Caenorhabditis elegans: one gene and its partners. The protein of the gene in region 1 interacts with the protein of each later gene in a pairwise test. Each region holds a gene or a part of one and is shown in the gene's direction. Other genes may lie near its edges.

Region 1 (7,185 bases):
AATCTGCATCTAGAATTGTATAAAATTGTCTAAAACTTTTTGTTGCAAAATGCTCGAAATGGACTTTTAAAAATTAATATTTATTTGAAACCTTTTTTGATAGTTCTGAAAAATACTTTAGCTGAAAGTCGGGTAAGGTTGTTTTAAAAATTTGGAATTAAAGGTGGTGTAGTCGAATTTTTTTACTGCCTTATTAGACTCAAAATTGTCTGAAAACACCGAATTTTATAATGAAAATTCTTGAAAACTTCTTTAAAAAAAGTTATAACGGCTCAAAAAATAGCCTAAAATTAGTTAAAATCGGAAATTTGACCAACTTATCAATGTCGCAGCGGCTGGAAACAATTTTTTTTGAAATCACCGTCAAATTTTAAGTATACAAGTTGATTACCGTGCGTTTTAAACTTGATTAAGGTATTTAAAAGTCGATGGACGGCGAGATTTTTAATTTTTTAAACCAAAACTCGCCGTCCATCGACTTTTAAATACCTAAATGAAGTTTAAAACGCGAGATAATCAACTTGTATACTTAAAATTTTACGGTGATTTCAAAAAAAATTGTTTCCAGCCGCTCCGACACTGACAAGTTGGTCAAATTTCCGATTTTAACTAATTTTATGTCATTTTTTGAGCCGTCATAACTTTTTTCTGAAAAGATTTCAAGAAGTTTCATTATGAAATTCGGTGTTTTCAGACAATTTTGAGTCTAATGAGGTAATAAAAAAATTCGACTACACCATCTTTAAGTGTTCAGGGATTTTCAGGAGGTGCTATAAAAATTGGACTGCCTGTGAAAGACTTTTAGGGACCACTCATATATTTGTCGTTAGGGGTCAAGACCACCCAGTCTCCCCCCGTCTCTCATTGCCCCTTCTCTCATTTTGTCTTCACGGTGGCCATTTGTCTACTCTCTTTATTGATTCTTACATTGTAAAAGAATGGCAAAGGAATTCCAACTCACCCATATTTTTAAGAAAGTATCCGAATTTAAAGATGGCGAATGTAGATGTGGACCCCTAGAAGAACACTTCAATGTTGAATGGTTAGTTTTCACCAATTATAAGATACATTTAATAAATTTCAAATGTCGTATTCAGGTTACTTTATATAAATCGGAAAGATGATGAATTGGCAGTATTTCTGGGTTGCAATAGTTTACAAGGAACTGAAGAAACAACACTGTCAATTTATGTGGAATTAAAGTTTACACTCAAGAATTCAATTGGCACACGAGTAACGAAAATCGCTAAATGTCTGTTATCAAATAAGAGTACTGAAAGTGATTTCGGACTTAATAAGTTTATTGGTTGGGAGACATTGTTGAAGGACTACCTGATTGATGACAGTATCATTATCGAAGCAAAAATCAAGATCACTAAGATGACTGGATTTCCGAGAAAAGAGCTCAGAAGCTTTGATGAATCAAGTGAGGAGTATTCCGATATGATTATTGCCGTTGGGGATAGAAAGTTCTATGTTCTCAAACAGGTAGCTCTAGTCTCTGAATATTCCAACTATTTGAGTACTTTTCAGCTCCTCGCTTCAAACTCTACACACTTTCAATCTCTTATTCCCCTGGACTTTGAAGAAATGGACTGTGAAGGAAAATCGGAGATCACCCTGCCAGATATCAACCCCTCCGATTTTCAGTGTCTCCTGGAGGTTCTGTACGGAGAGCCTGCTATGGATGGTAAGAAAACTATAGCAATTTAAACAATTTAATACAATTTAATCTGAAAAATATTTTAAACATTGGGGGGGGGGGGGGGGGGAAATTACGAAGCTATCAAGTTTATTTGTTTAAATAAATATTAGTATTTGAATTTAATTTTGCATTGACAACTAGCTTAGGCTCAGGCTTAGTCTGAGACCAAGGCTTAGGCTGGACGGGGACAATTCCATCTCAGTAAGATTCAAAACACTTCCAAAATATTTCCAAACATTTTCAAAATTGTGTCAACTATAACTACAATGCTCCTACAGTAATCCTAGCCCACTTCATTCTCAAAATCTATAAACTGATTTTTTTTCTGAAACTACAGTAACCATATAGTAGATAACACTATTGTTAATATTTCAGACGAGAACGTTGAAGGGATTCTTCATTCGGCTCACATGTACAAAATGACAAAAGTAATTCGGAACTGTGAAGAGTTTCTTTCCAACAAATCTGAAAAACCCATGAGGGATAAGTTCAAAATTGCAAAGCAATACCAACTGGAGAGTTTGAAGGTTAGAATTCATATATTTTTTAAAAACTATTTTAATACATTTTTTTTTTCAGAAATCATGTCTCTCAAAAATCCAAACAATCCAAGACATCAAGTCAGCAATGGCAGGGGATCTATCTGACATGGATGCAACTGTAGTGGCGGCTCTTCTCGAAAAATCGGTGACTATTGAACCGCCTTCGAAAAATGGACGACCGTATTAATTTGAAATTGTTTTTTTTGTGGTTATACTGTATTTTTCACTTATTCAATAAATTCCAAAATATTGGTGAAATTGTAAAAAACTCTACAGATAAAAGTGAGCTATAGAAATTGGACGGACTGTAGTAGAAAACTGTATTTCCAATCAAGACCCTAATGATGTAAGACGGCACCTTTCGGGACCATTCACTGCCTACATATTTGTCGTTGACAGGGGTCAAGACCACCCAGTCTCCCCCGTCTCTCACCACCCCTTTCTCTCATTTTGTCTTCACGGTGGTCAGCTGGATGGCTGTTCACTCTTTTGCTTCTATTGATTTTTTGAAAAAAGTAACTTTATTATTGGTGTATTAGGTTTTGAAAAATGGATAGCGGGTTGTAATAATCAGTTGTGAAAAATAATAAATTGCGAGAACTGCTACTTTTTTTATAATTAATATTTCAATTTCAGTAGCAAGACTTCGCCCAGAATGGTAAAGGAAATAGGACTCACTCATATATTCAAGAATGTATCAGAATTGGAAAAAGGCAAATATTTTCATAGTCCCGCAGAAGAACACTTCAATGTTCGATGGTAAGTCTTTTCTAAGTTAATATAAATATACAATTTTTTGTTCAGGAATATCAAAATTGCTCGGAAAAATGAAAACATCGGAGTTTATCTGTGTTGCCAGAGATTGAAAGACATCGGAGAAGGCGCATGGTCCGTGGATACCGAATATAGACTAACAGTCAAGAATTCAATTGGTAAACGTCTTAGGAACAAGGCTAGGACTAAATTTGTGCCAAATTCGAATGAATGGGGATGGGAGTTCAGTTGGGAGACATTGATCAAGGATTATCTCATTGATGATAGTATCATTGTTGAAGCAGAGGTCAAGATCAGAAAGATGACTGGGATTCCTAGGAAGCTGCTCAGTAGCTTTGAGCAGTCAGATGACGTCTTTTCTGATGTGGTTCTAGCGGTTTACGACAAGAAGTTCTTTGTTCTCAAAAAGGTATGTTTCAGGGATGGGCGGCAATTGCCTTCCGGCAAATCGGCAAATTGCCGGTTAGACAGTTTGCCGGGAATTTTCATTTCCGGCAAATTGTCGATTTTCCGTTTTCCAAAACTGAATTTGCCGGGAGTTTTTAGAGAGATTTTTTATAAGACGGAAACGCTTAAAACTGTGCTTTTATGAAATTTTCCCCCTTATTTTCTAGTTATTTTCATAGAACTTGCTTACTTTTCAAAATAGATGTAGGAATATTCATTGGATGCGTAGGACTTTTGCCGATTAAAATTGAAACTTCGAAATTTCCAAAAAGTGTTATATTAGAGATCAGCCCTAACTTGGCTTTTCGGCTACATCTGGCCGAATTAACCACTGTTCTAAAACGCCGAAATCTCTGAAATCCGGCACAACAAGTTATGCGTCATGACACACTTTTAGTGCCGAACTGTTCAAAATTAGCCAAAAAATTCATTTAATGTGTGTTTCAGTTCCTCGCCACTCACTCATCATACTTCAAAACTCTATTTCTCGGAAAATTCGATGAACCAGAAAAAGCTGAAATCGCGCTCACCGACATCAATGCTGCCGATTTTCAGTGTCTTCTAGAGGTTCTGTACGGAGAACCTGCTATTGAGGGTAAAGAAAAAGGTTTTTATTCTAGAAAAAAAGTTAATTTTAGACGAGAACGTTGAGGGAATTCTACACTTGGCTCACATGTACAAGATGGCCGTGGTGATTGAGAAATGTGTGGAGTTTCTATCCGATAAATCTGAGAAACTCGGGAGAGATAAGTTCAGAATTGCAAAGCAATATCAACTGGATAATTTGAAGGTTAGAATCAAGATTTTAAAATTCTTTTAAATTCCAATAAAACAATTTTTTCAGAAATCGTGCCTATCAAAAATCAATACAATCACTGAGATCAAATCAGCAATGGCAGGGGATCTATCTGACATGGATCCAACTGTAGTGGCGGCTCTTCTCGAAAAATCAGTGGCTCTTCATTAACTAGTAATTTTACGAAGCACATAAGTTATGTAAATTTGTATGCTTTACTTATTGTATCATAAAAAAGTTTGTTTCATTTTCAAGGCTTGCCATGCTACTTCTTCTTCTGAGATGACTTTGAACCAATTTTTGAGCGACTTTTTGAAACTTTTGAGCAAAAGTATAATAATTTCCAAAAAGTACAAATATTTCTCTATATTTCTACATAAATTTTCAAAACAAAACTTCGACTCAACAAGGAGAAATAGGGGATGTTTTAAATATGTCGAAAAAATGTGTCACACATATCTGCTGGCTACCATATTCCGAAGATGCCAAATGATTTCAAAACAAAAATTAAAAAACCATTATTGTAAGACGGTTTTTACATAATTAATCATTCTAAAACACATTGATATCTGTAGTTTCAGAAAAATTACATGCAATTTTCTAAAATTATTGATTTTTGCTTATAAGATCCTCCAAATTCAACATTTTCGCTTCAAATTTCGACTAAGCATTGTACATTTTGGTCCTCTATTTAGTTTTGAAAGAATTTTTGAAAAATGTTGGCTCATCTCCAAAATCGTCCTGACTGTAAGAGACATGCCTTTTGCGATTCGGAAATGTGAGGAATTTCTGGTTGAGAAATATGAAAGGCCCAAGCGAGATATACTCAATATTGCAAAGCAATATCAACTTGAGAACTTGAAGGTAAGGATCACAACGGATCGTGTAAATCTAAATTGAATATTTTTCAGAAACTATGTCTTGCAAAAATCAATACGATTGATGAAATCAAGGCGGCAATGGCAGGTAATCTATCTGACATGGAGCCAACAGTGCTGGCGGCTCTTCTCGAAAAATCGGTGGCTCTAAAATAACCATTCAAATTTAATTTCTGAATAAAATAATTGTTTTTTACCACTTTCAAGTACATATATTCCATATAATTGTTACAATCTTTCTCCAAATTTCCAAAAAAAAAATCACAGGTTAATCACTGAGTTTTGGCATTTTTGGTTTTTCTTGACTTTTCTTTAGTACTTGATGTGAAACATCGTTTGAAAATTTTAAGGCTAAATTTGAAGTTCCTGCAAATTTCCTTCGGGCTGTCAAGTTTTCTCTGCGGAAAAATGACTGTAAATTTGAAAAAATATATTTCAAAAATTCGAATATCAGGGAAAATTCAGGTTATCGAATTTCAATTTTTTGCCATGTGTTTGACTTGCCTATTGTATGCCTACATACCTAATGTATGCCTACGTGCCTACTGCATGCTGGCATGCCTACTACATGCCTACTGCATACCTACATGAACACCGCATGACTACTTGGCTACGTGCCTACTTAAGTTTCTACTGCATTTCTCCCTTTTTTTTTGGAAATCGGGAAATTCTATGTATTTCTGAAACGCATAATTTTGTGGCCAGAGGTTCTTCCTTCACTCTTGGGAAGACTTATTGACGCTGCGTCATCTGCAACTACGGATCGATAACATTCGACTACCAGCTGACTACCAGCTCAGCCATTTCTCAGCTCATTCTCTCTCCTCCAAGACTACTCGTTTGCCTTTTATTGATTTTTTAAGAAACTCCTTTACTGCTTTTTTATCCAATTTGTTTGAAATATTTCTAACTCTATAATTTCAGCAGGACAATGAATTCCGCTAAAAAGGAATTTGAGATTTCACACATTTTCACAGATGTATCAAAATTGGAAAACGGTAATTTTCTATTAAGCCCTGAAGAAGATCACTTCAATGTTCCATGGTAAATAGGTTTTATTTTACTAAAATGAATATAAAATGAACATTCAGGGACTTGCAACTTTATCGAGAAGATGATCATTTAGATGTGTACCTCCGTTGTACGAAATTGACGGAAAATGATGAAATTTGTGCAATTGATACGGAATTCGAATTAACTCTTAAAACTTCAAATGGGAAACAAATGAGTCGTAGGGTCAAAGTTGACTTTACACTTGAAAACATCATGATACCCGCATGGAGATGGTCTAAGGTTGTTAGTTGGGAGACATTGTTGAAGGAATACCTAATTGATGATAGTATCATTGTGGAAGCAGCCGTCATGATCAAAGCGATGACTGGGATCCCTAGGATGAAGCTTAGAAGCTTCGAGAAGTCGGCTCAGGAGTATTCTGATGCGATTATAGCAATTGGAGATGAAAAGTTCTACGTTCTCAAGAAGGTATTTGCATTTTTTGCTTTTGAATTTCAATTTTAAATGCTTTTCAGTTTCTCGCTGCTCACTCAACTTACTTCAAGGATCTCCTCTTCGGAGACTTCGACTTCGAACAAGCTGAAAATTCAGAAATCACACTCTCCGATATCAATTCTACCGATTTTCAGTGTCTCCTGGAGGTTCTATACGGAGAACCTGCTATTGATGGTAAAACTGAAAACATGTGAAAGTTCAAATTTTCTATTTTTTCTAGAAGAGAACATTGACGGAATCCTCAAATTGGCTCAGAAGTACAATATGCCCCTGCGATTCGGAGATGTGAAGAGTTCCTAATCAAAATTTCTGAAAGATCAATCAGGGAAAAGTTAAAGATTGCAAAGCAATACCAACTGGATAACTTGAAGGTAAGGATCATAGCTGAGCCTCCAATCCTAATCAGTCTGTTTAGAAATCATGTCTGTCGAAAATCAATATAATGGATGAGATCAAAGCGGCAATGGCATGCAATGTTGCTGAAATGGATCCAACTGTGCTGGCGCCTCTTCTCCAGAAATCGGTGGCTCTTAA
Region 2 (7,121 bases), on another chromosome or scaffold:
GACGAAATTAGCAGAATAATGGTGAGAGGAGATGGTCTTCACAGAGCTGTTCTCAAGGAGCACAATGAATTCATCATCGATGGAAGTGATATCAACAAGGAGGGTCGTATCACAGCAACACTTCTAGGATCAAAAGCAGACATTCCTGTGAGAATTCAACAACTCGGACATAATGTCTACAAAGCTACTTACACTCCATTGACTGGAGGCACCTATGAACTTCATATTCTTTGGAATGGAAAGCACGTTAAAGGATCACCATTTGCTGTTTCTGCAGACACATCTGCTCATTTGGCTGATCTTATTGACGTTGATGCTTCGACTCTTAAAATTGGAATAATCAATGAGAACATTAAGACATTGATTGATACTCGTCGTGCTGGATCCGGACAACTTTCAGCTTTATGTATGGGTCCGAATAAGCCCGCTTACTGTGAACTGTATGATCACAGAGATGGAACTTATGCCCTCTGTGTCAGGCCAGCTGAGATTGGAAAGCATACATTGGTTATCAAATACGACGATGAGCACGTAAAAGGAAGTCCATTCGTTGTTCACGTGTCTCTTCCACCAGATCCGTCAAAAGTTCGCGTCTACGGGCCAGGAGTTGAACATGGAATTCTTTCTCTGTAAGTTATTTTAGATAAATTATTTGAAGGAATGGTATTATTTACAGTTTCAAATCCAATTTCGTCGTGGAAACCCGAGGTGCTGGCGCTGGACAACTGACTGTTCGTGTCAGAGGACCAAAGGGAGCCTTCAATGTGGAAATGCAAAGAGAGAAGAAGAATGAAAGAACGATTCACTGCAAGTATGAGCCAAAGGAACCAGGGGATTATCAGGTGAGATTAGATATCATAGTACAATACTTGAAGGGGTGAAATACAGTTTTTGAAACTAATTTATTTTTGTGAACACTTAAACAATGATTTCGTAGAGTCACAACACATTTTTATAAAGGCCGTTAACCACAGAATTGAAAACAATAATAATTTTCAGGTCGAAGTGAAATGGCACGGAGAGCATGTTCCAGGTAGTCCATTCCTTGTCATGATCGTCGACACCGAGAAAGAACTCTCAAGATACCTTCGCGGCGAGGCTCCGTCTCCAACACCAGCAACGCCATTCATTCCGCCAGGATGGGTAGCTCCACCACAAATGTACCCAATGCAACCAGGACAGCAACGTTTCCTGCCACCACCAGGCCATTTCGGACCAATGGGTGTTCCAAGCCCATATGGATCCGTTCCACCTCCGACCAAACATAAAGGACGCAATCATTAAATTGTATTGATTAGTGATACCTCAATTCCAAACTACAAATCCTTTTTTAATCAACATTTTTATTCGAACTCAAATTTTGAAAATTGAGAATTAAGATTTTTAAATTAATACAGCAAAACATGCTATTCTAGTTAATGGTTTCAAATTTCAGAAAAATTATTATTGCATAGATTCTGCTTCTCCTTGTCTTTTCCAAATAATCTATGATTATACAATCCCCAAATACAATGTGATACTTTCTCTGATGATGACACAACAAACGTTCTTTTATTTTCATCATTTCTAATCATAATGCTCATTTTTCCCAGACGTTTACTTACATTTTAAAACAGAAATACTCCTGCCAAATGTTTCTTACCTTTGCTCCATGTTCCCACTTCCTTCACTTTTAAATGCTCATTAATAAAATGAACAAGATCCTGTGCTCTGCTCCCTCTGCTATCTTTCTTGTGTAGAATTTTTCGTTTCATAATCAGAAGTCTTCCTATAAGTTAGTTGTATTTTTATTCAATTCCAATTTCAGATGTTCTTATTTTTAAAACATGATAAAGTTTTTACAAATCATTCAAAATAAGTTTAGAAAATAAAACAAGCCTGCAGTATCAAAAATTATTATTGCAAAACTTAGTTCCTTAGTTTATCCAAAGTTGGAATAAAAATTATGGTTTTTGTCTATTGTGGAACTGCATTTTAAAATTAAGTTTGTTGCACAAAAACCGAGGTTGATCAAATCATCGTAAAATTGTATAAAAAATCACAAAAATCTGAAATGAAGAATGATAATTGCATTCAGACTATTCATATGTTGCTGCGACTAAAGAAAATTTGTAACTGTGCTTCAATTTTTTTTCTAAATTTCAAACTGAAATGAACCAATTATTACTTTTTTAATGCGGTTTTAATGGGGGTTTTTATGGGTTTTAATGGGATTAACGAATATATCGACGTTTACTTCTTTTTCAACTACATCGATAGAAAGTAAAACACCTACATCTTGAAAGCAAAGGAACTTGTGAACAGCGAGAGGTTTACAACGCATCACGTAGAAATATTTCAAAATAAGAGTTTAATATTGTGTTTTTAACAACCTGTGTTGGTAAACTCTTATTGAATAATCACATCTTATAGCCGCGAGTATCAATTTTGTTTCGCAAGAACCTTGAATAGTTTGAACTTTTTAAAGAAACTTTTTTCACAACTTGACAAATTCAAACTGACTTACAACAATATTCAAATACATATTTATCTCATTTTGTATAAAAAATCCTAGGCATTTATTAATATTTCCCAAAATTTAAACTTATGTTCGCTAAAACTAGATAGCCTGACGCAGTTCATAGAAATTTGAGAAACACTGTTGAATGAAAACTGGAAAACAACATTAAAACAAATTTCAATCATTCACTTTATTTTATCCTTGCCGTTAATCAAATTTATAACACTGTTTACCATATCTATGATTATTAAAATATTTTTATGGTGAATTGCATTTAATGTGGTACACATAAAACTACATACTACAGATACAGTTCAACTAAAAACAAGGCGATACAACTGTTATCAGTCGCAACCAGCCACAATCAACGCCACATTATAGTCTGTTTTATAAATGACCGCCAAATTCTTCATTTACTTTGATTCTATTATTCACTCTTTTTATTTTTGAATGATTAATATTGGAATCAAAAACTTACTAAACTTCTTATCGAATTCTTATCAAAATTTAACGTTTCAAATTGAGTTTCAGTGAAGCAATGACAAGTGGACTTATTTTAACTGAGCGTAAAAATAATGTTCTATGGGTCACCCTGAACAGGCCAAAGAAATTTAATGCTCTCACTAGACAGATGTTCCTTGATTTGTGCACAGTTTTTAATGATGCTGCCGATGATGATGATATTGCATTTGTTGTTTTTACAGGAGGTACGTTGTCAACAATCAACATGTTTAACCGTAAACTTGTGTTTAGGAAAAGGGAAGTATTACTGCGCTGGAAGCGATTTTTCTCCAGCTGAGCTTTCAACATTGACGTGAGATTATTAAATCATGACATTTTATTTCATTCAACAAGAATTACAGAGATATCCAAGAACATGGATACAAACTTTTTGTGGACATCTTGATTGCTTTCCCAAAACCAATAATTGCTTTGGTAAACGGACATGCCGTTGGAGTATCTGTGACTATGCTGGGTGTGATGGATGCGGTCATTGCCATTGACACTGTGAGTTTTCTTAGCTGGTAACTATGAAAAAACAATATTCATCTAACTTGATGTGCAAAAAGTACTTTAAAGAAAAAACAATCAGTTTTTTAATAATATTATTATTATATACCTTACAAACTAGAATATTTTCTTAATATATTGGAATGAACGTTGTGTTATGTTATATATGCAGGTGGTTGATATTTATCAAAAACAAAGTAAAAAATACATTTTGTTAGATATGTACTTGCTATAGATTTTCTCATATAAGAATGCTCAATAACGTGTAAATATCCCCAATTTTCCAAGACTGCGCATTTCACAATTTTCATTGCAGGCAACGTTTGCCACTCCGTTTGCAGACATTGGTGTGTGCCCAGAAGCGTGTTCCAGCTACACCCTCCCAAGAATTATGGGTCATCAAAAAGCTGCCGCACTGATGATGTTCAGCGAAAAGTTTACCGCTCACGAGGCTCATATTGCGGGATTGGTTACACAAGTAAGTGTTTGAAAACTTCTAGTTTCCAAAGGACCACAAATTTTTAATTGACAACACTCACATGCAAATTTGAAAAAATAATGGGAACTTTTAAAGTGGAAGTGGATGTAGTAAAAATAATGAAAAGTGTAGCGCATATTTGAGTACTTACTGGGTTATAAAATTGGGAAAAGTTGTTAAGACTGCTAAAACTCGCTCGAAAATGATTTTAAGTTAAAAGTGACGCGCAAATTCTTTGCGTTCTATTATTGAATTTTGTTCTGTAAAAAAGTAGTCTGAGCTGAATTATTACAAATATATATTAAGTTTGCGTTTGGAAAAATCAAAAATGAACAAAACTTGTTCCGCTTCTGTCGCCCAACTTCTTTCGCTTAGGCGTGATGAATGGGTCGAGATGGGTCGACCCGCGACCCAATTTCGGGTCGGGGACGTGTCCCCAACCCACTTTTATATAAATTGCTTTGTTTCAATAACATAAAATCCTATATCTGAAAAGTGGGTCGTGACTTTAATAACAGGAATATTAAAGCAATCATTTCTTAAAAGATTGTCCTGTGATTTCAGATTTTACCAGCTGCGACATTTGAAAAAGATGCAAAGAAAATCATCGACCGCTACTCAAAGCTTTCTCCAATTGTAAGTTTGTTAAAACTTTTCACCATATCCCTTTTTTTATTTTGAAGACCATGAAAGTAGCAAAAGAACTGATGAGAACCACCCAAATCAAAGACGAACTGCTCACTGTCAACCGAAAAGAGCAAGTGCATTTGAATGGGATGTTTTCCCACGAGGACACTATTGCTCGTCTCACTGCGAAATTTGTTAAACCATCTAAAATATGAACAATAATTCATCATTTCTCGTCTTACTAAATGTATTTTATTTGAAGTAAATACAAGGTTGCCTAAATACATTAAAATAAATGGAAACCCTTATTTTTGTTTTTTTTTCCACGCTTTTATTATTTTAATGTTAAAATGACACCTTCTGAACATTTTGGATTGAGTTTATTTTCAAAATAAATTCATAAATTCATAAATAAAGAAGAAGAAGAAAATATTTTAACAAAAATTGTCGAACAAAATTGAGGGGTGCTATAGAAGTTGGGCGGTCGTTTATTCAACTTTGTGGCCTCATTTCCATGATTGTTGAGATATCAGCATTGGGCATCATAGGATTTTCAACGTTTGCTGGCAAACTCCATGAACACTTTTTCGAAAATTATTCAGAAAAACCTCAAACTCCCAAATTAGAGGGGTGCTATAGAAGTTGTGCGCACTGTATATGTACGGAATTTATTCTAGAAAACAACTAAATGAAGTTTTTCGAACATATATATATTTTTCTCAAAGTTTCTTTGCACAGTATCTCGTTTAATCAAAAGAACTAAATATGTAATCGTTTAAAAAATATAGCCGTTGACGAAAAGCAAACAGAAATCCAGTTGATTTGTATTGTTAACAACAGTTTAGCACTTGGATAACACATATTCTAACAGCGTTTAACAACAAAAAAAAACAAATTATGCTGGTATCGACCTTGAAATTAGAATTTGGAGTTATCGGATTGTAGAAAAATAACCGAACAAAAAAATATAATTTTTGAATGAGTGTTTATTGGCACTGTTTTTAATACAATACTTGCAGTTTTCCTTTTTCAAACTTTGGCTTCGTCTTATTTTTCCCTACTGTTATCAAACCCAAACATTCAATCGAATCCCAAATGATAATAAACTCTTTTATTTTCCACTCTTTGTCTTTTTCTCCTATTATTTCCCAATTCCTTCGTTCTTTCCTCCTCTCTCTGGGATAGAATGTAGCGAGCAAAGTCCAATGAGACACGGTGCGAGAGAGTGTGCAGATCAGCAATGCGCAGATGGTCGGCGCGTAGTTTTGGTGTGTCCGAGTGTACACGCGGCCGACGGACGATTCCACAACAATATCTATCGGTTTTTTCTACTACTCTTTCTTGAGTTGTTTTCTTTCTTAATTGTTGAAATTTTAAATTAGCAACGTAAAACATCTTAACTTACTTTTTTTGCAGAATGCTCAGTTCAACTTGCACCGCTGCCGTTCGTGGACTCTCCACCACCGCCCAACTTTCAAAAATTAATAATGTGACCATTATTGGTGCCGGACTCATGGGATCAGGAATTGCTCAAGTGTCTGCTAACGCCAAGCTTAACGTGACAGTTGTGGATAGCAATCAATCTGCTCTCGAAAAGGCTCAGCAAGGAATTGCCAACAGTTTGAAGAGAGTTGCCAAGAAGAAGCACGCCGACGACGCAGCGGTAAGGTTTCTTCATTTTTTCAAATAAATTAATGAGCTGAGATAATTTTACAGGCTCAAACAGCTCTTGTCAGCTCAGTTTTGGACCGTATCAAGATGTCTACCAACGTCTCCGATTCTGTCAAGGACGCTGATTTGGTCATTGAAGCCATCGTGGAAAACATTGATATCAAGAGAAAACTTTTTGCAGAGGTGGAGGTTGCTGCCAAACCGTAAGTACTCCACTAAATAAAAATGTATTGCCAAAGTTTTCAAAACCATGTATGCTAGAAAAACAATGTTGTATCTAGAAATTCTAAATTAGAACGTACACAAATAAATCCAGTCCCAATTAATGTCTCAATTGAAATTTTAGAACTACTCTCATTACCACAAATACTTCTTCACTTCGCCTCGCCGACATTGGGCTCAACTTGAAGGACAAGTCCCGTTTTGGAGGACTTCACTTCTTCAACCCTGTCCCAATGATGAAGCTTTTGGAAGTTGTTCGACACACTGAGACCTCCGATGCAACCTTCAACCAACTCGTTGACTACGGAAAGACTGTCGGAAAGACCACTGTTGCTTGCAAGGTAAGCTGTTGCTCCGGGAATCGTATTTAAATTCAATGCAAGCAGTTTCTAAAACCGATTTTTCAGGACACGCCCGGATTCATTGTCAACCGTCTCTTGGTGCCTTACATGTTTGAGGCTCTTCGACTTTACGAACGCGGCGATGCTTCCATGGAAGATATTGATGTTGCCATGAAACTCGGTGCTGGATACCCAATGGGACCATTTGAGCTCAGTGACTACGTTGGACTTGACACTTGCAAGTTCATCATGGATGGCTGGCACGCACAGT
Region 3 (7,949 bases), on another chromosome or scaffold:
ATTTTAAGAATTATCTATTTATTCACATTTTCGAAAATTGTGTTGTTCAACATCAAATTATTCATTTAGTTTTGACAAAAAACAATACAAAGCACACAATTTATATACTTTCCAAATCAATCATCAAACTATAATACTACTTGAGAATATAAGAACATAGAAAAACAAGAATTTCTTATTTTCGGTTTGGGAAACCCCTTTTAGATTTTAATTTCCAAAAAATTGCAGGAATTGTCGTGCCTTAATGATTCTTGGTGTTTTTGTGTCACCCGCCAAACAAACACCTAACAATTCCGCTCCTTCCAGATTTTCAAGAGATGGCAACACGTGTCGTAGAGGTTTTGACACGAGTGACTTTGTTTTTGAGGTTAAGTAGAGGTGACAGTGGTGGTCCTGACGGATCAGGTAACTGAAAATTGTTGATGTTTAGGAGAAATGTTTAGGCGAAACATAATTGGTGAGTGCAGTGAAACGTGATACACGAGTAGACTCTATTTATCAAAGTTGTTGATTTACTAACAGAAATTAAGGTAATCAAAAATCTAAAATCACAATTTTTGATTGCAAGGTGTGAATGAAAAACTACAGAAAGTTACAGTGACCATTTAAAGTGATAAAAAAATAAATGAAAAATGCTTGCATCTAGCAGTAAAGGTGGTCTCAAACTTCCAATGTTGTTACTTTTTCAGCATTAAAAAGAATAGAAAAAGTCATAGAGAAGTTTAGAAAAATAGACATTGCAAAACTCAGAAACCCACATATGGCAGCAATTGTTAATTTTTAGGTTATAATTAATTTTGCATTTTTAGATTTTTAGATTTTCCCTACTTTGCATGTATCCGGGAGTTTTTTAACCTTTTGACTCGCTGAAACCAAACTTAAACATCACTTTTAAAGAATTCAAAATATTCTCTGTGGATGAGCGTAAAACGTTTTTCTACATATCAAAATTTTTTCTACTATCCTTTAGATTTTTTACTGATACCACTTTTCTTTGGTAATACAAAAATGCAAATTCTCTAGGATTAGTTTGGGGTGAGAGTATTTCAAAGTAAGTTAATTTTTTGAACAATTAAAACAGTGGGTGTGAATGAGTTAAGGACAGATTTGGGACAAAATTTGGAGTAAGCACAAAAAATTAATCTGAAACAAAACTACTCAAGCATTATATGAAGTTGAATTGTGCGGAGATGTTCCATTAGAGTATGTTTTTGCCGAACACTCGCTGAATAATCTTTTCATTCGAAAACTAACATTAACGGTGTTTTCTGGAATTTTCTTGATGCCGTCTTCTGTCAACAATTCGTTGTCAACGACGAGTGTTCCTGTTTCTAATTGTTTGATCTTCCAACTACGCGTATGTAAATGAGACAAGGCCACAACGTGACACTATATTAATAATCAGGTTGATCCTCAAAGATTGTTGGTGGTTCTCTGCGTCTCCACATTCTATACTTCTTCTAGATAAGGTCACGTGTAGTGATCGGATAGTGAATGGGGAATCCCCCGTACTGGGGAATACCCTTGTTTCTTCTCTTCTCTCATCGTATCTCGTTTCTCACGTCACTCGAACATAATGTCCTGTTATCAAGATAGAAAGTCCAGAATAATAAGAGTAAATAGGGGTTTGGAAGTAGGAAGAAGTGAAGATCAAACCATCATAAGGTGAACCATGGTGCACTGCGGATAGCATTGGAAGCAACAGTAAACAACAGGAAAGAGTTGCGCGCAATCAAAAACGCCCAATAAGAAAATTGAAGAAAAAAACAAATTTTCACTGTTCTAGTGTGAACATGCCACACTCGATACCTACTTAACAAACTGCTCCTTGATATTTTGCAACTAAAAAATCAGAATTATTTTTCAGCCAAAGGGTACGTATAGACTGATAAATTGATTTGAACTTGAACTTATACCAATAATTCTGACAACATACTGCGAAAACACTTTTTAACCATGGAAATATTGTAACCGGAAAACAACACGAGATAAACTTAAGGTCAACCCAAAAATATTTCAAAAAATAGTTGACTCTTCCACCCAACCAACTTTTATCCCTGTTTACACTTGGTTTTCATGTTTTGGTTTCGGAAGCGACAAGTTATTTGATTGGACCTCTTCCTTGTCTACTCATGAAAGCCGTTGATGTCAGAGATGAGATTGTGCAAAAAGATAAAGACGAGTTAATGGCTCATATGGCACCATGAGTAGGTCTGGTAGGAACAAGAAGTGAAAAAAAAAACAGCACGAGAACATCGCTACGTCGGCTACAAAGAACGGTTCACGAAAGATATTAAACTGATCTTTGACTAAATTTCTACAATCTGAAATGTCTCATTTTGTATATAGTGCTCATTCCGTGTACCCATAAGAAGTTTGATAATTTTCATCACTGGTAAAAATTATACGTTGTGTGTTTACTTTATTGGAAATGCGTAGTACAGATTTATCGGAGTTTGCTTAAATTGCCGGACACTTTTTTAAAGACTTCTTAATTGTAAGAAGAAATCATTTAAATATTTAAGAACAAATGACAACACTTGCATTTCAAGCATACAATTTAATGAGCATGAGCCATGAAGAACTTTTTAGATCTGATTAAAAAGATCAGGTTTCAGAACCAGTAATGGAGCAACAAACGTGTATGATTAACCATCAAAAGTATATTTAAAACGTTACTTTTAAACTGTCCGAGAATATCTCACTTTGGGTTTTCTAAATCAGAAAAAAAAACAAATAACTCACAGCCAAAAATTAATAGAAGCTATTCATGTCTAGGAGCGATGTCATTACATTTCAACATCTCTGTACTATAGAACGAGAATTCGACTTCCCGCAATCCATCATTCATTGTAAGTATTGAAAACCTCAGTTATTTTTTTCAAGACAAGATGTACCCAAATGCCTCCCCCTTCACAAGTTTTTTTGAGATTTCAGTTCTCTTCTAGTTCCGCCAAACTTTGGATTTCAAGAACTTTTTTCTTCGAAAACAAGGTAACAGACACACCGACGCCATGTTTTTATCTGATTTTAAGTATTTAGTAATGGGAGATGTCTGTTTTTAAGCCAATTTATCATTTTTCAGTATGTTTTTGTTCCAGGCCGACATAATGGTTCGCCTCTCACAGGGAAACAAGCAAGACCCCGGCGGGTGGCAGGAAAACGCTAGAGACTACGCGAGAGAAAGAGGCAGCAGACAAGGCCCGGCCGATTGCGTTTGATTATGTTCTTGCATCAGGTTGCCGCCGTCGGCCCGCCTCACGGCCCGCCCATTTTTCGACGGCCAAGAGGCCTTTAAAAAGGACGGTCCGTTGCTCCAAAACTATCATCACTCACACTTTATTTTGTGTTCAGTGCTGCCTACCCGTTTCCCTCTTGGATTCCTCAACGAATAACTCTCACCATGTGCGGCGTATTCTCAATTTGCCAACAAACATGCAAAAACAAGCCAAAGTACGACCTAGATGAGGCTCGCAAGTTGTCCAGGTAAGAGTTGTAAGGTACATGTATAGACAAACTGTTTCAAATTTTAGAAGACAACACCATCGTGGACCGGACTTCAGTGGATGCTACCAAGACACGAAGACTGGAGATATACTAGTCCACGAGCGTCTAGCCATTATGGATCTAGGTGTTGTTCAACCACTTCAAGGAACAGCCCCAAACCGTCAGGTACAAATATTCCATAATTGTTTTTCTTTTTCAAGCTATATGAGTATATCGATGTGCATTATGTTCCGCTATTAGTACACTTCTCTAATGTTAAATTAGTAAACCGTATTTCACGTGATTTCCCATTAGTAGTCAAAGTACAATTAGTTCTTATCGCTTGTTATCATTAGTGTATCACTTCTCCTCCTCCTAAGATAAGCGAAAAGTGTAACACAACACACGCCGTGTTCTTTGTGCTGATATTAATGACCCCCAGACACACCTTAGCACCTAGGCACAAAGATTTTTGTTGCACATTGGTTATTTCAGGTTATACACAACGGTGAAATCTACAACCATCAAGAACTCCGTGACACCGAGCTGAAGAAATACAATTTGAAAACCCATTGCGATTCAGAGGTACTTAACAGTTAGAAATAACTTCACACAAGATACAATTTGTTTCAGGTTATTATTTTCTTGTACGAGAAATACCGTGACGGACACATCTGCAACCTTCTTGATGGAGTTTTTGCATTTGTTCTTTGTTGCGATGGAGATTTCCTTGCTGCTCGTGACCCACTTGGCGTAAAACAAATGTACTACGGAATTGATGACGATGGAAGATACTTCTTCAGGTAAAAATTAACAATGAAAGGATTATTTCTTAACATTTAATATTACAGTAACGAGATGAAGTGCTTGGAAGATAGTTGCGGAGATAACAAAATAGAATCGTTCCCACCCGGGCACTACTACACTCCTAAAACGGGATTCGTTCGCTATTTCAACCCAGAATGGTTCGACTTCAGAAAAGCGATCCATCCATTGGACCTCAAACTTCTCCAAAAAACCATGATAGCTTCAGTCCACAAGAGATTAATGTCCGATGCACCAATTGGAGTTTTGCTCTCGGGAGGACTTGATTCCAGTCTGGTCTCTTCAATTGCTTCAAGAGAAATGAAAAGGAGAGGAATGGCCGTTCACTCGTTCTCCATTGGTGTCGATCACAACTCCCCAGATGTTGTGGCTGCTAGAAAAGTTGCAAAGTTTATTGGAACTACTCATCATGAGTTCTATTTCAGCATTGAGGTATGTGTTTCTTCAATTCGAAATAACAAAATTCACAAATATGTTTTAAGGAAGGTATCAAGAACCTGCGTAAGCTTATTTGGCATCTTGAGTCTTATGATGTCACATCCATTCGTGCTTCTACTCCAATGTACTTCCTCTCCGAAGAAATCAGGAAATTGGGAATCAAAGTTGTTCTTTCTGGAGAAGGAGCTGATGAAATCTTCGGTGGATATCTCTACTTCCACAATGCCCCATCCGATGAGGACTTTCAAAAGGAAACCATCGATCGTGTTCTTCATCTCTACACATCTGATTGTCTTCGTGCTGACAAGTCTTCGATGGCTCACTCAGTCGAAGTTCGTGTTCCATTCCTGGATAAAGCATTTGTTGAGGCTGCAGTCAGTTTGGACCCTGCATTTAAGCGCCCACAAAAACTTGAAGATGGGAGAAACTGCGAGAAGTTTGTTCTCCGATCAGCTTTCAACACGGACCAATACCCATATCTGCCTGATGAGATTTTGTGGAGACAAAAAGAACAGTTCTCCGACGGAGTTGGATACAGCTGGATTGACACTCTCATGAAGTACTGTGCTGCTAAAATTACCGACAAGGAATTCTCTCAAGCCTCTAAGCTTTTCCCACACAATACTCCACACAGTAAGGAAGCATTCTACATGAGAAAGATCTTCCACGAGCAGTTCCCATCTGAGCAAGCGGCTCTCACTGTCAGAAAATGGATTCCAAAATGGCAAAAGAACCAAGATCCATCAGGTTTGTTGAACAATATATAGTCTTTCTATATAAACATTACCTTTTAGGAAGAGCATCATTGGTCCATGAGAACTCTGCTCACAACATTGGAGACGAATTCTGCAACAACAAATCTGCAATCAGTCAACATCACATTGAACAATGCCGACCACAAGCATAATAACTGAGCTCTTCATGTCATGACACAGCACATTCCTTATTTCATATCCCCATTTTTAAACTTTCTATCGCTTTATGGGAGGAGACCATGATTAATCATTTCGATGTATTTTTCAAAAATACCTTTTAGTTACGCTTTTTCTGGGCTTTTAACCTGAATAAATAAATGTGCATTGGAAATCTGCTACAAAGTTTTACTACAAAGTTTCTAAAAGACATTTCAAAAAAAGTTACTTTGAAGAGATTTATGAATTTTCAAAGTTTGGAAAATCCATCTATTTTTGCCTATAAATGGCAGTTTTCATTGAATAATAAAATACGCACTAAAAGGTAGGGCTGAAAATGTACTATTTCTGTAACTACGTGAAGCTTCTTGTACCTACTGGAATATTGTTGGTAAATTCTAAAAGAACTTAAAATTTACTACAAAGTTTCTGAAAGACATTTCAAAAAAAAATTACTTTGAAGAGATTTATGAATTTTCAAAGTTTGGAAAATCCCTCTACTTTTTGCGTATAAATGGTAGTTTTCATTGAATAATAAAATACGCACTAAAAGGTAGGGCTGAAAATGTACTATTTTTGTAACTACGTGAAGCTTCTTGTACCTACTGGAATATTGTTGGTATATTCTAAAAGAGCTTAAAATTTACTACAAAATTTCTGAAAGACATTTCAAAAAAAGTTACTTTGAAGAGATTTATGAATTTTCAAAGTTTGGAAAATCCATCTATTTTGCCTATAAATGGTAGTTTTTATTGAATAATAAAATACGCACTAAAAGGTAGGGCTGAAAATGTACTATTTCTGTAACTACGTGAAGCTTCTTGTACCTACTGGAATATTGTTGGTAAATGCTAAAAGAGCTTAAAATTTACTACAAAGTTTCTGAAAGACATTTCAAAAAAAGTTACTTTGAAGAGATTTATGAATTTTCAAAGTTTGGAAAATCCATCTATTTTTGCCCATAAATGGTAGTTTTCATTGAATAATAAAATACGCACTAAAAGGTAGGGCTGAAAATGTACTATTTCTGTAACTACGTGAAGCTTCTTGTACCTACTGGAATATTGTTGGTAAATTCTAAAAGAGCTTAAAATTTACTACAAAATTTCTGAAAGACATTTCAAAAAAAGTTACTTTGAAGAGATTTATGAATTTTCAAAGTTTGGAAAATCCATCTATTTTGCCTATAATGGTAGTTTTTATTGAATAATAAAATACGCACTAAAAGGTAGGGCTGAAAATGTACTATTTCTGTAACTACGTGAAGCTTCTTGTACCTACTGGAATATTGTTGGTAAATGCTAAAAGAGCTTAAAATTTACTACAATGTTTCTGAAAGACATTTCAAAAAAAGTTACTTTGAAGAGATTTATGAATTTTCAAAATTTGGAAAATCCATCTATTTTTGACTATAAATGGTAGTTTTCATTAAATAATAAAATACGCACTAAAAGGTAGGGCTGAAAATGTACTATTTCTGTAACTACGTGAAGCTTCTTGTACCTACTGGAATATTGTTGGTAAATTCTAAAAGAGCTTAAAATTTACTACAAAGTTTCTGAAAGACATTTCAAAAAAAATTACTTTGAAGAGATTTATGAATTTTCAAAGTTTGGAAAATCCATCTATTTTTGCCTATAAATGGTAGTTTTCATTGAATAATAAAATACGCACTAAAAGGTAGGGCTGAAAATGTACTATTTCTGTATCTACGTGAAGCTTCTTGTACCTACTGGAATATTGTTGGGCTTTTAACCTGAATAAATATTGTGCATTGGAAATCTGTGGGGTAGTTAAAAAACATAAAAGTTTACTTACACAATCAAGTTCTTACACAATCAAAAGTAGGGAAGGACGGCACTTGCCGTTTAGTAAATTATTGGTTTTCTTAATTGACAAAAATAGAAAAAATGACAGACTATCGCATTTACCGGAAAAATTAAACGGCATCTGTATTAGAGTACCTAATTTTTATAATTTAAAAAAAAATTTCAATTTTTAAATGTGTGTTCTAGAAAACCTACAACTTGTTGCTAAACATTACTAAACATTTATTCACAATCAGTTCAAATAAGAATTTTTTAAATGTTACTTTTTTATAATATAAATATGTAAATATTACATACATAAGTACTACATGAATTGCCTACTATCTTCTTTTTTTTAAATTATTATTTTATCGAAAAATCAGAAACACAAATTACATTAAGTTAACATTTTTCAAATTTGAAGATGTCTAAACAATTCTTGTTAAATCAAACGGAAATTTGAGGAAATCTGAGGTGTAGT
Region 4 (7,921 bases), on another chromosome or scaffold:
AATTATTATCTGAGAATATGGACGTGGATAATTTGTCGGTAGGCATCAGATAGGCACAACGCAGGCATAGCCAAAAACATATTTGTAACGTTACTAAATGCCACTCAATTTTAATAAAATGGGCTCTGAAAGAGGGAAAAATGTACGGCCTGTTTTAAAAAAAAAACAAAGGTTCGCATTTTGGAAATTTTGGTCCAAAGCTGAATTTCTGTTAGGGACATGTTTCTAAATATTTTTCGCATGGTATAAAGTCCAAAATTGAACAGAAACAATTTTCTGGTTATCTCCATTTTTTTTAAATAACCAATTTATTACAGTTTCACACTGGATATTTTTATTTTTAAAAAAAACTGTGACTCTCCAGTGCCCTTTTATTTTCCGCAAACTGTTCTCTGTTCTATCATTTTCATGAAAACATGGCTTTCCAGTATTAACCATCCACCTCAAGATCGTAGACATCGATCCAATGTCGGCGGCAATCTGTTCCAGATCTGACGGCGTCTCTCGTCATTTTTTTATTTTTCAAGGTCTTCGCCTAATTTATCTCGACTCACTGTTCCGCGTTCCAGTGTATCGGTACCAGTACTTTTTTTTTAAATTTTCCTCAGACCAAATAGATCAGTTTTCTGAATAGTTTTTTTTTCTATATTAACATGTTTCACGTAGTCTGTATTGTTTCAGACTGTAGTAAGCTATAATTCGTAAAATTTTTATATTGAAAAATAAATAAGTTTGATGAATGATAGATACCAGCATTTGATAAGCTTCTAGGACAGGGACAAAATTTTAAAACTTGAAATTTGGCCTAACATCCTTTGAATTTGCAAACCGGTATAAGAGAATTTTAGATTTTTTTTTGAGATAGTTTTGAGAATTTCCTAGGTTTCAACTTTTGGGATATTTTGAATCTATTGTTGCAAAACAATGCTGATCCATTATTGCTTTTTTAGTATGTTTTATATAGTCGGTATTATTTGAGATTGTAGAAAAAATCTATAATTTCTTCTTTGTCATTAGGATTAGGCAAAAATACATTGGTCTACATCACAATGAGAGCGAAACAATACAAAATTGAATAACCTAATCAATAGTTTGAAACAGTTGTTTTTTGTTTTCCAATGGAAGGTTTTGGATAACCCTCGAATTAAAAAAACTCTCATTAGAATCAAATTTAAAATGAATACACTTAAAGCAGTCAGAAACCTGTAGGCTCCAATCAAAACCATTAAAACTCCCTAAAAATTGTTAAGATGCTATTTTAAGTTTCCAACCAATGCAAAGATTGAATATGTATGACAACATTGTTCTTGAAAATATGGAAAAAATTTGGTTTCTGGGCACTTTTAAAATTATTGAAACGTTGAGGAAAAACATTGCAAACTTTTTTTGATGTCCTAATGTGATTTGAGCTCCTTCAATGTAAATTTATAAGATTTCACTATAATTGCCGCTGAAACTATATTTTATATGTTTCAAGTGGTGTATAATATTAGAAAATGCTACCATAAACAATACGATCACTGGTTTATTTGTAAACTGATTGAAAAAAGTATAAATTTTGTAACAGACAAAAAGCATGGAAAATTATGAAAAAAAACGTTAAAACCCTTTATAACACAAAAAAATAGGCACCGAATCGTAGAGATTCCGGAATAGCTGAAATTGTCCGTTGTGACTCAGTTTTGCAGCCCTTATTCTGAGTGTGATGCGATACTTGCCAGTTTTAAATAATGAAATAATTCCATATAAAAATTCGCAAAAGTGATATCAAATTTTATTTTAATATTTTCAAAGTAAAAGTTATTCATAAAAGTGTTAGTTTTTCAATTAACAAAAAAAACTGAGCTCTCCATCTTCCGATCTCCTATTCCCAAAAACCATTTCTATCCATCTTCCCCTCCCATTGTTTTCCATTAATTTTGATTCTTTTAACAGATTAATAAACTTCCAGTCATTCAGCTTCCCTTCATCTCATTCTCCGATTCCTTAGATCATTATCATGATCAGCACCGGCCGTCTTGTGTCCAACCGTACCACTCGTCCCTCTCTCTCTCATTTCACAGTTTCCCTCGGGTTTTTCAAATATTGTGTTCAGATGGACATTCTTCTTCTGACTTTAAAATTTTTACTGCTTACGCGTCCGAAGAAAAAAGGAAATTAAAAAGCATCAAAGTAACAGCGTCAAAAACTTGGTTCAATATTTACCTTGAAACTGGAAAATTGATTGTTCCGATTTCTTGGCGGTGCTCTCTTCAACTTTTGTTGATTTCTTTGATCGCTCATTGCTCATGAATCAATCAGGTTAGGTACACAAAATGAATGAGCACTGAAACATTATTATTTCCATCTCGTCATTCGATTTTTCACAGTTTTATATTTTCGGTTCACAGTTCATCAAAACGGATATAGCTTTAGAGAAACATATTTTTTCACTAAAAATTAAAAAATTAAAATCGATGTTTATATTTTTTTATTTCAGAAACAGCTTTTTTTAATTACTGTTTCACAACCACATAAATAATTTTGAAATTTTTCACATCCCAATCTTCATGTTTTTCGGTTTCTAAAATTGTACAACATATAAAATTGTACAACATGCCTGTTAGAAATTTTGATCAAAACTCCCCAAAAAAACATTTTGTGAGACATTTATTAAACTGCGATTTTAACAAAGCAACTTGAATACTAGCAGAAAAATAGGATTATCTCTGAAAAAATTTCCAGCTGTTTTCAATCATATCAATCTTATCGGTTATCGATTCATTTTACGCCCTTCATCCATTTTCGCTTGATTTTTTTTTTGAAAAAAAGTTACTGTTTCAGAAGTCCAATAATTAATTTGATATTTCTCTTTATCCTATTCTTCACTTTTTCTAAAGGTTATGCATCTTTAAATGTATACTCTTGTTTGAGTTTGTGTGCTCTCTTATCATCATGATTATCATCTCTTCTCCTCCTCGTTTTAACCACTTTTTTTGCATATGACTATACCTCATTTTTTCCAGGTATCTATCTCAAATTTCCCATTTTCAAAACGACGTCTTCACTTGTTATGGAACTATTTCGATCGCCGCCACAAACGGCAATGTTTCCTACAACAGCTTCTAGTTCTTTTGTCTCAGCGGCTCTTCATCAACAACAATCATCTCCATCATCAAATCTTCCAGTAATCCCTTCACCAACTGATATGATTACTGTAACATCAACATCACCAATTCCAATCACAACTTCTGCATCACCACCGAATCTTCCAATGTTCTTAAGCTTTCCGAGCACATCAACGACGACAAGTATCCTTATGGATACTGTATTAGCTGCTCAAAAACTGAATCAACAGCAGAATCAGCAAGCATTCAATTTTATGGTTGTGAAGCAGGAAAATGGAGAAACTGGAAGAAATTTTATGACAATGAAGCAAGATGCTCTGCAAGCAATCACTAATACAGTTTCAAGGAATTCACCGCCAAATGTTATTAAGGTGTGTTTATTTTTTAATTAAAAACTTGGTATTTGAAATAAGAAAGCCCAGTCATTTTCTTGAAGTAATGAGTTTTAAACCTACATTTTTTACTGATTCGTAAAGCAGTAAATTTTTGTTCATATCAGCAAGATTTAATAAGTGTTTTTTAATTCTTGTAAGAATGCCTATTGAAATTTTGAATGAGAAATCCTAGCAAATTCATGAAAAAACATCAACAGCTTACCAAAATGCTCGGTTTAAAGCGAACGATAAAACAAAATGTTTTGTTAGTTTTTTTAATTTTTTATTTTGTTTTCATTTATTTCTACTGTTTCATGAAATAGTGAATTGGAAATACTCAATTTTTGTACGCCTGTACATACGCCTACAAAATGTGTTTTTTTCTGTAATTTGAAATTTCGCCATGAAATTTCGTATTTTCCTGACATGTAACCAAACGAGTAAGAAAAATCTTGAAATTTCCGAGTCTGCAAAATTCGGCAATTCCACATGTTCAAGGTTTTCTGAATATCTCGCTGCATGAAAGAAAAATCAGCAATTAACATTTTTCAACTTTTATACTGTTTGTAAAACATTAGATTTTTATTGTTGTGAAAAACTGTTTGGAATTTGATATGTTTTTTTACTGTTTCATAGCCACAATGAAATAGTCAATTTTAGTATTTATTTGCTGACTAACCACGATTCCTCAAAAAATATCAAATTTTCCGAATTTTTACAACCACTGTTTCAATGTTCAATTGTGTTACTTCGCTCTCTCCGATACAATTCCATAACATTTTATCATCATAAACGGCCGTGCAACACAGTAAAAATGGAATGATTTAACGCTCTCTCTCTTCCAAAAGGTTGAAAAGAATGAAAGAGCAGTGACGTACTGAATTTCAAATTCCACTATTTTCTGTCTGCATAAATGATCGATTTTTGTTTGGGGCGAATTCAGATACGGATTCCTGAAGGATCTCCCGTTTTAGGTGCAATGTAATCTAAAAGATCTTCGTGTTTACATGAAGCCTTGTCCCTAATTTCTGGAAAAAATGCCAAAATTTTCAAGATATTTGTACTTGATCATTGTCTTGTGCTCTCTCATTGTGCGCTTCTCCTCGCCAGCTGAATCAACAAATAATATTAATTTCTACATTACAAATTCGACATTAATTTTGACAATTTGAATGACTGTTTTATCTATCACCGCTCAATTTTGTGATCATCTCTTTATGATCAGTATCAATAAAACAAAGTGCCAACCGGAAATATGTGACAGTTCAGTTTCGCGGGTTAGTTCACGTGGTTTTCACGGTTTCGTTGAGTTGTATTTGCACATTGGTACATGAAAGAACATTCCGGAATGCGAAAAAAAGATTGAATGAATGAGTAAGGGGGTCTAGAATAAGTCGATGCCAGGAAACAGTAAAATTTTCAAATTGGTAGTTTAAGAACAAAAGTATAAGCGAATCTTATTTTAAAATCTGTTTTCCTTTTTTACAACAATATTTACTAAAATATTTATAGCTGTTAATAACTCGAAATTAACAATTTCCATAATAAACCATATCTGAAACAGTAGATTTTGTGTACCTCAATAACATTTATTTTTGGAATAGCCAACAGCCTTGCAAATAATTGTTTTTCTTCAATACCCTAACAAAAATAAAAATAATTGAAAAATGTTGAAATAGAAACATGCTTTAGCCTGCTTTAAAATTTATTTCACGATGTGTACCAAATTTTTATAATTTTACAGAATATCACAGTAACTTGTAATAGCAGAAAATTTGTGAAATGTGACTATTACTAAGTTTCCCACTATAGCCGTTCTGTTTGAAATCTGGCAATTTGTTCTTACTTTGACTGAAATTTCTGAAAATTCCAGATTGTTCTGGACTTTTAAAATATGATGCGTGTTCATGTGAAGGTATTATAAATGTATTTATACAAAATGCCTGTTGACGTGACTCCAAATTTAACTAAAAATATCTACTGCACCAAAAAAAATCCAAAAATTTTTCACAAAACTAATCTTATATTAGAAAAACTAAATATAAAACAACCAATATATATATTACAACAGGTCACTGTCTTTTTTAAACATTAAATTAATTTTAAAACGTAGTCTAAATTAGTTCTCTGAAAGTTCAATAGTTCATAAAGTTTCCCTCTATCTTCAATTTCCTTTCTGAAATAGCTTCCTTTTCCCTCAGGGGGTTTAGATGTGGAAATAATCCTTTTCTAAATGTAATGTAGTCCTGACATTAATTATGCCCATTTCCTCTATTCATCCATGAAAAATCTCGTCCCTCGTTCTCCTCTTGTTATGTTTCGAGTGTTGCTAATTTCTCGCCGATTCGGTCGCAATTTTTGAGCGCGGAGGAATTGACCCAATTTACACTAGCTTCATGTTGTTGGGCGAAAAACCGGAAAATGGTTCAGCTGTTGGAAATGCAGAAAATTTGAGGAAATACATTAGATCAAAACACACAGGTTGATAAGGTATTGTTGATCTATTGATGGAAAGAAGAAATCATAAAATTAGAACAGAGATATCGCAATCTCTATGATCTCGCAGAAACGTTTGTGATAATTTTTATAATATTTATATAGTTTTAGACCTTTTTATTTGAATTGTTCCAGTTTTTAATTTAAAAAAACCGTGCATTTGTACAGTTTAAGTTACATTATTCGAAACACTTGGAATTCGAAAAAAAAATCCCGTTTCAAATAGGTGTTTTATTTTCGTTTAAAATTTTGTCTGCGATTTTGTCTTTTTACAAAGTTTATTTCCAAAAAAACAACAATCTTACGTCACGTGCAAAATGAATAGAAATTTGATTAGGTGTGTATAGAAATAATGCAATTCTTAGTTTCCCTAGAGGACAGCTGAAAGTGTGCGATCTCAGTGAACTCGTGTAGTGATAAAAAAATGACACGTGTTTCCTGAATCAAAAACATTCGGGATCAAAAGGATCCATTTATATACTGATAAAACACACACCCAGAGAAACAGCATCACAGTTCATTGTCTGAATCTCTCAGTTTACCACACTATTTCACTCTCCTCTAACTCTTGTGCAAAATGAAATACGCAACAAAATGTAAACTTTAGGGGCGATTCTCTCACACTCTCCGCACTCTCTTAAGAGTGCCCACATTTTCTCGCATTTCTCTGTCGGTCTCTTCATAACATGTACTCTCTTCCAGGTTTCTAGATTTGTCTGCGTCCCAGTATCTCGCTCGCATGCCTGCACTTCTTCGATACCCGCCTTACTCTCCTCTTTCGCTCTCTCGATCATTTTTCGGTCTTCGTATCAAAGGATCGCAAGCACTTTTCAACTTTCCATCTTATGATTCTACTTGGAATTCTTAAACCATGTGTTTTGACCATCCTCTTCTCGTTTCTAGCGTTTTCCGTGAAAACCTTCGAGTTTCCTTGAAAATTTTGCCAATTTTCGGTACATTCTAGTTTAGATAAGGAGCCCCTAGATGGGAGGAAGAATTGCATGGAATCAAAATGATACGAGTGATATTTTGTACGATTTTCGAAATGCTATTCGAACCTGAAACACTTTGTAAATCCAAAATTTTATATCAGAATTTAGTGAAACAGAAAAAAATCGTTCATTTCTAAAGTTCAAATTGCTTCCAATCCTCTTTGTGTCTTCAACCACTGCATGTGGTTGAACAAAAAATGTGTTTTGTTGATCAACGCCGCACACACAGAGTCTCAGAGTGCACGCAACCCATGCTATTTTTTGCAAATATATTTTTTGGGAAGAAAATGTCGCATTGAAACCTTTTGAAACCTATCCCTCTCTCCGCCACGTGTTTTGCTCGCAGAGCTCCTTCTGTGTCTCGAATGTGTGCATTGTGGTATGTGTAGTCTCAGTTTGCTCAGACCGCTCTCAGTCCCTCACAAAAGAGAAAATGAAGACAAATAATATCTATCTATCTCTCTCTGACATTCTCCAATATCTCTTCCTCTCTATTTCTCCGTATCTCTCCACAAAACCGTTGTGCATTCAAAAAGACACTCGCAGAGCAATGTTAAAAGGAAATGTTTCATGTCATGTATAAACTAAACATGTATATATATACATAAGAAGTGATGGCGCGCGAGCGGTGTGAGAATGAACTCGGATATTATTGTATAAGGGGGGGGGGGGGGATTTAGATGATCAAAGAAGTTCAAATATATGGACAAAGGGTGAAAGGGTAAAGACCACACACGCGCGCGCCCCTGAAAAAGTCCAGAAAATAGAGAAAGTTTTGGGTCGCCTAAACTACATACACAAACGCCTCAGATGTTGCAAAGGGCCCGCGCGCACCCGCGTCACATCCTTGAGTATGAAAGCGTGAGAAAATAGTGTAGGAAGACGCCCTTTTTGAAGAGTATTCTGTTACGGGTGATGGCGACAAGTACCACTTTCAGCGCCGAAATTGACT

The links.
Region 2: the proteins of bath-9 (region 1) and B0272.4 interact in a two-hybrid assay, tested with the Caenorhabditis elegans proteins (one large-scale study listed by BioGRID).
Region 3: the proteins of bath-9 (region 1) and asns-2 interact in a two-hybrid assay, tested with the Caenorhabditis elegans proteins (one large-scale study listed by BioGRID).
Region 4: the proteins of bath-9 (region 1) and nhr-46 interact in a two-hybrid assay, tested with the Caenorhabditis elegans proteins (one large-scale study listed by BioGRID).

Annotation. Positions count from the first base shown.
Region 1 is NC_003280.10:3,374,215-3,381,399, forward strand, and holds bath-9 (BTB domain-containing protein), read left to right. Parts: upstream 1-2,874; 5' UTR 2,875-2,902; coding exon 2,903-3,006; intron 3,007-3,051; coding exon 3,052-3,430; intron 3,431-3,915; coding exon 3,916-4,063; intron 4,064-4,106; coding exon 4,107-4,258; intron 4,259-4,312; coding exon 4,313-4,435; 3' UTR 4,436-4,620; downstream 4,621-7,185. Other genes in the region: bath-10 (BTB and MATH domain containing), read left to right, coding at 939-1,042, 1,098-1,488, 1,534-1,690, 2,081-2,232, 2,285-2,434; Y49F6C.2 (BTB domain-containing protein), read left to right, coding at 4,747-4,787, 4,846-5,128, 5,176-5,298.
Region 2 is NC_003284.9:9,425,400-9,432,520, forward strand, and holds B0272.4 (enoyl-CoA hydratase/isomerase family protein), read left to right. Parts: upstream 1-3,031; 5' UTR 3,032-3,038; coding exon 3,039-3,207; intron 3,208-3,253; coding exon 3,254-3,314; intron 3,315-3,363; coding exon 3,364-3,508; intron 3,509-3,827; coding exon 3,828-3,989; intron 3,990-4,553; coding exon 4,554-4,625; intron 4,626-4,672; coding exon 4,673-4,831; 3' UTR 4,832-5,025; downstream 5,026-7,121. Other genes in the region: fln-2 (Calponin-homology (CH) domain-containing protein), read left to right, coding at 1-629, 677-842, 1,000-1,284; putative 3-hydroxyacyl-CoA dehydrogenase B0272.3, read left to right, coding at 6,034-6,279, 6,333-6,490, 6,634-6,850, 6,917-7,121.
Region 3 is NC_003284.9:8,746,317-8,754,265, reverse strand, and holds asns-2 (Asparagine synthetase [glutamine-hydrolyzing]), read left to right. Parts: upstream 1-3,324; 5' UTR 3,325-3,403; coding exon 3,404-3,486; intron 3,487-3,533; coding exon 3,534-3,672; intron 3,673-3,981; coding exon 3,982-4,071; intron 4,072-4,119; coding exon 4,120-4,289; intron 4,290-4,337; coding exon 4,338-4,743; intron 4,744-4,793; coding exon 4,794-5,496; intron 5,497-5,543; coding exon 5,544-5,656; 3' UTR 5,657-5,832; downstream 5,833-7,949.
Region 4 is NC_003282.8:5,752,947-5,760,867, reverse strand, and holds the start of nhr-46 (Nuclear Hormone Receptor family), read left to right. Parts: upstream 1-3,005; 5' UTR 3,006-3,052; coding exon 3,053-3,478; intron 3,479-3,521; exon of another isoform or gene 3,522-3,542; intron 3,543-3,990; exon of another isoform or gene 3,991-4,011; intron 4,012-4,152; exon of another isoform or gene 4,153-4,176; intron 4,177-4,823; exon of another isoform or gene 4,824-4,847; intron 4,848-4,978; exon of another isoform or gene 4,979-4,999; intron 5,000-5,182; exon of another isoform or gene 5,183-5,203; intron 5,204-7,019; exon of another isoform or gene 7,020-7,040; intron 7,041-7,921.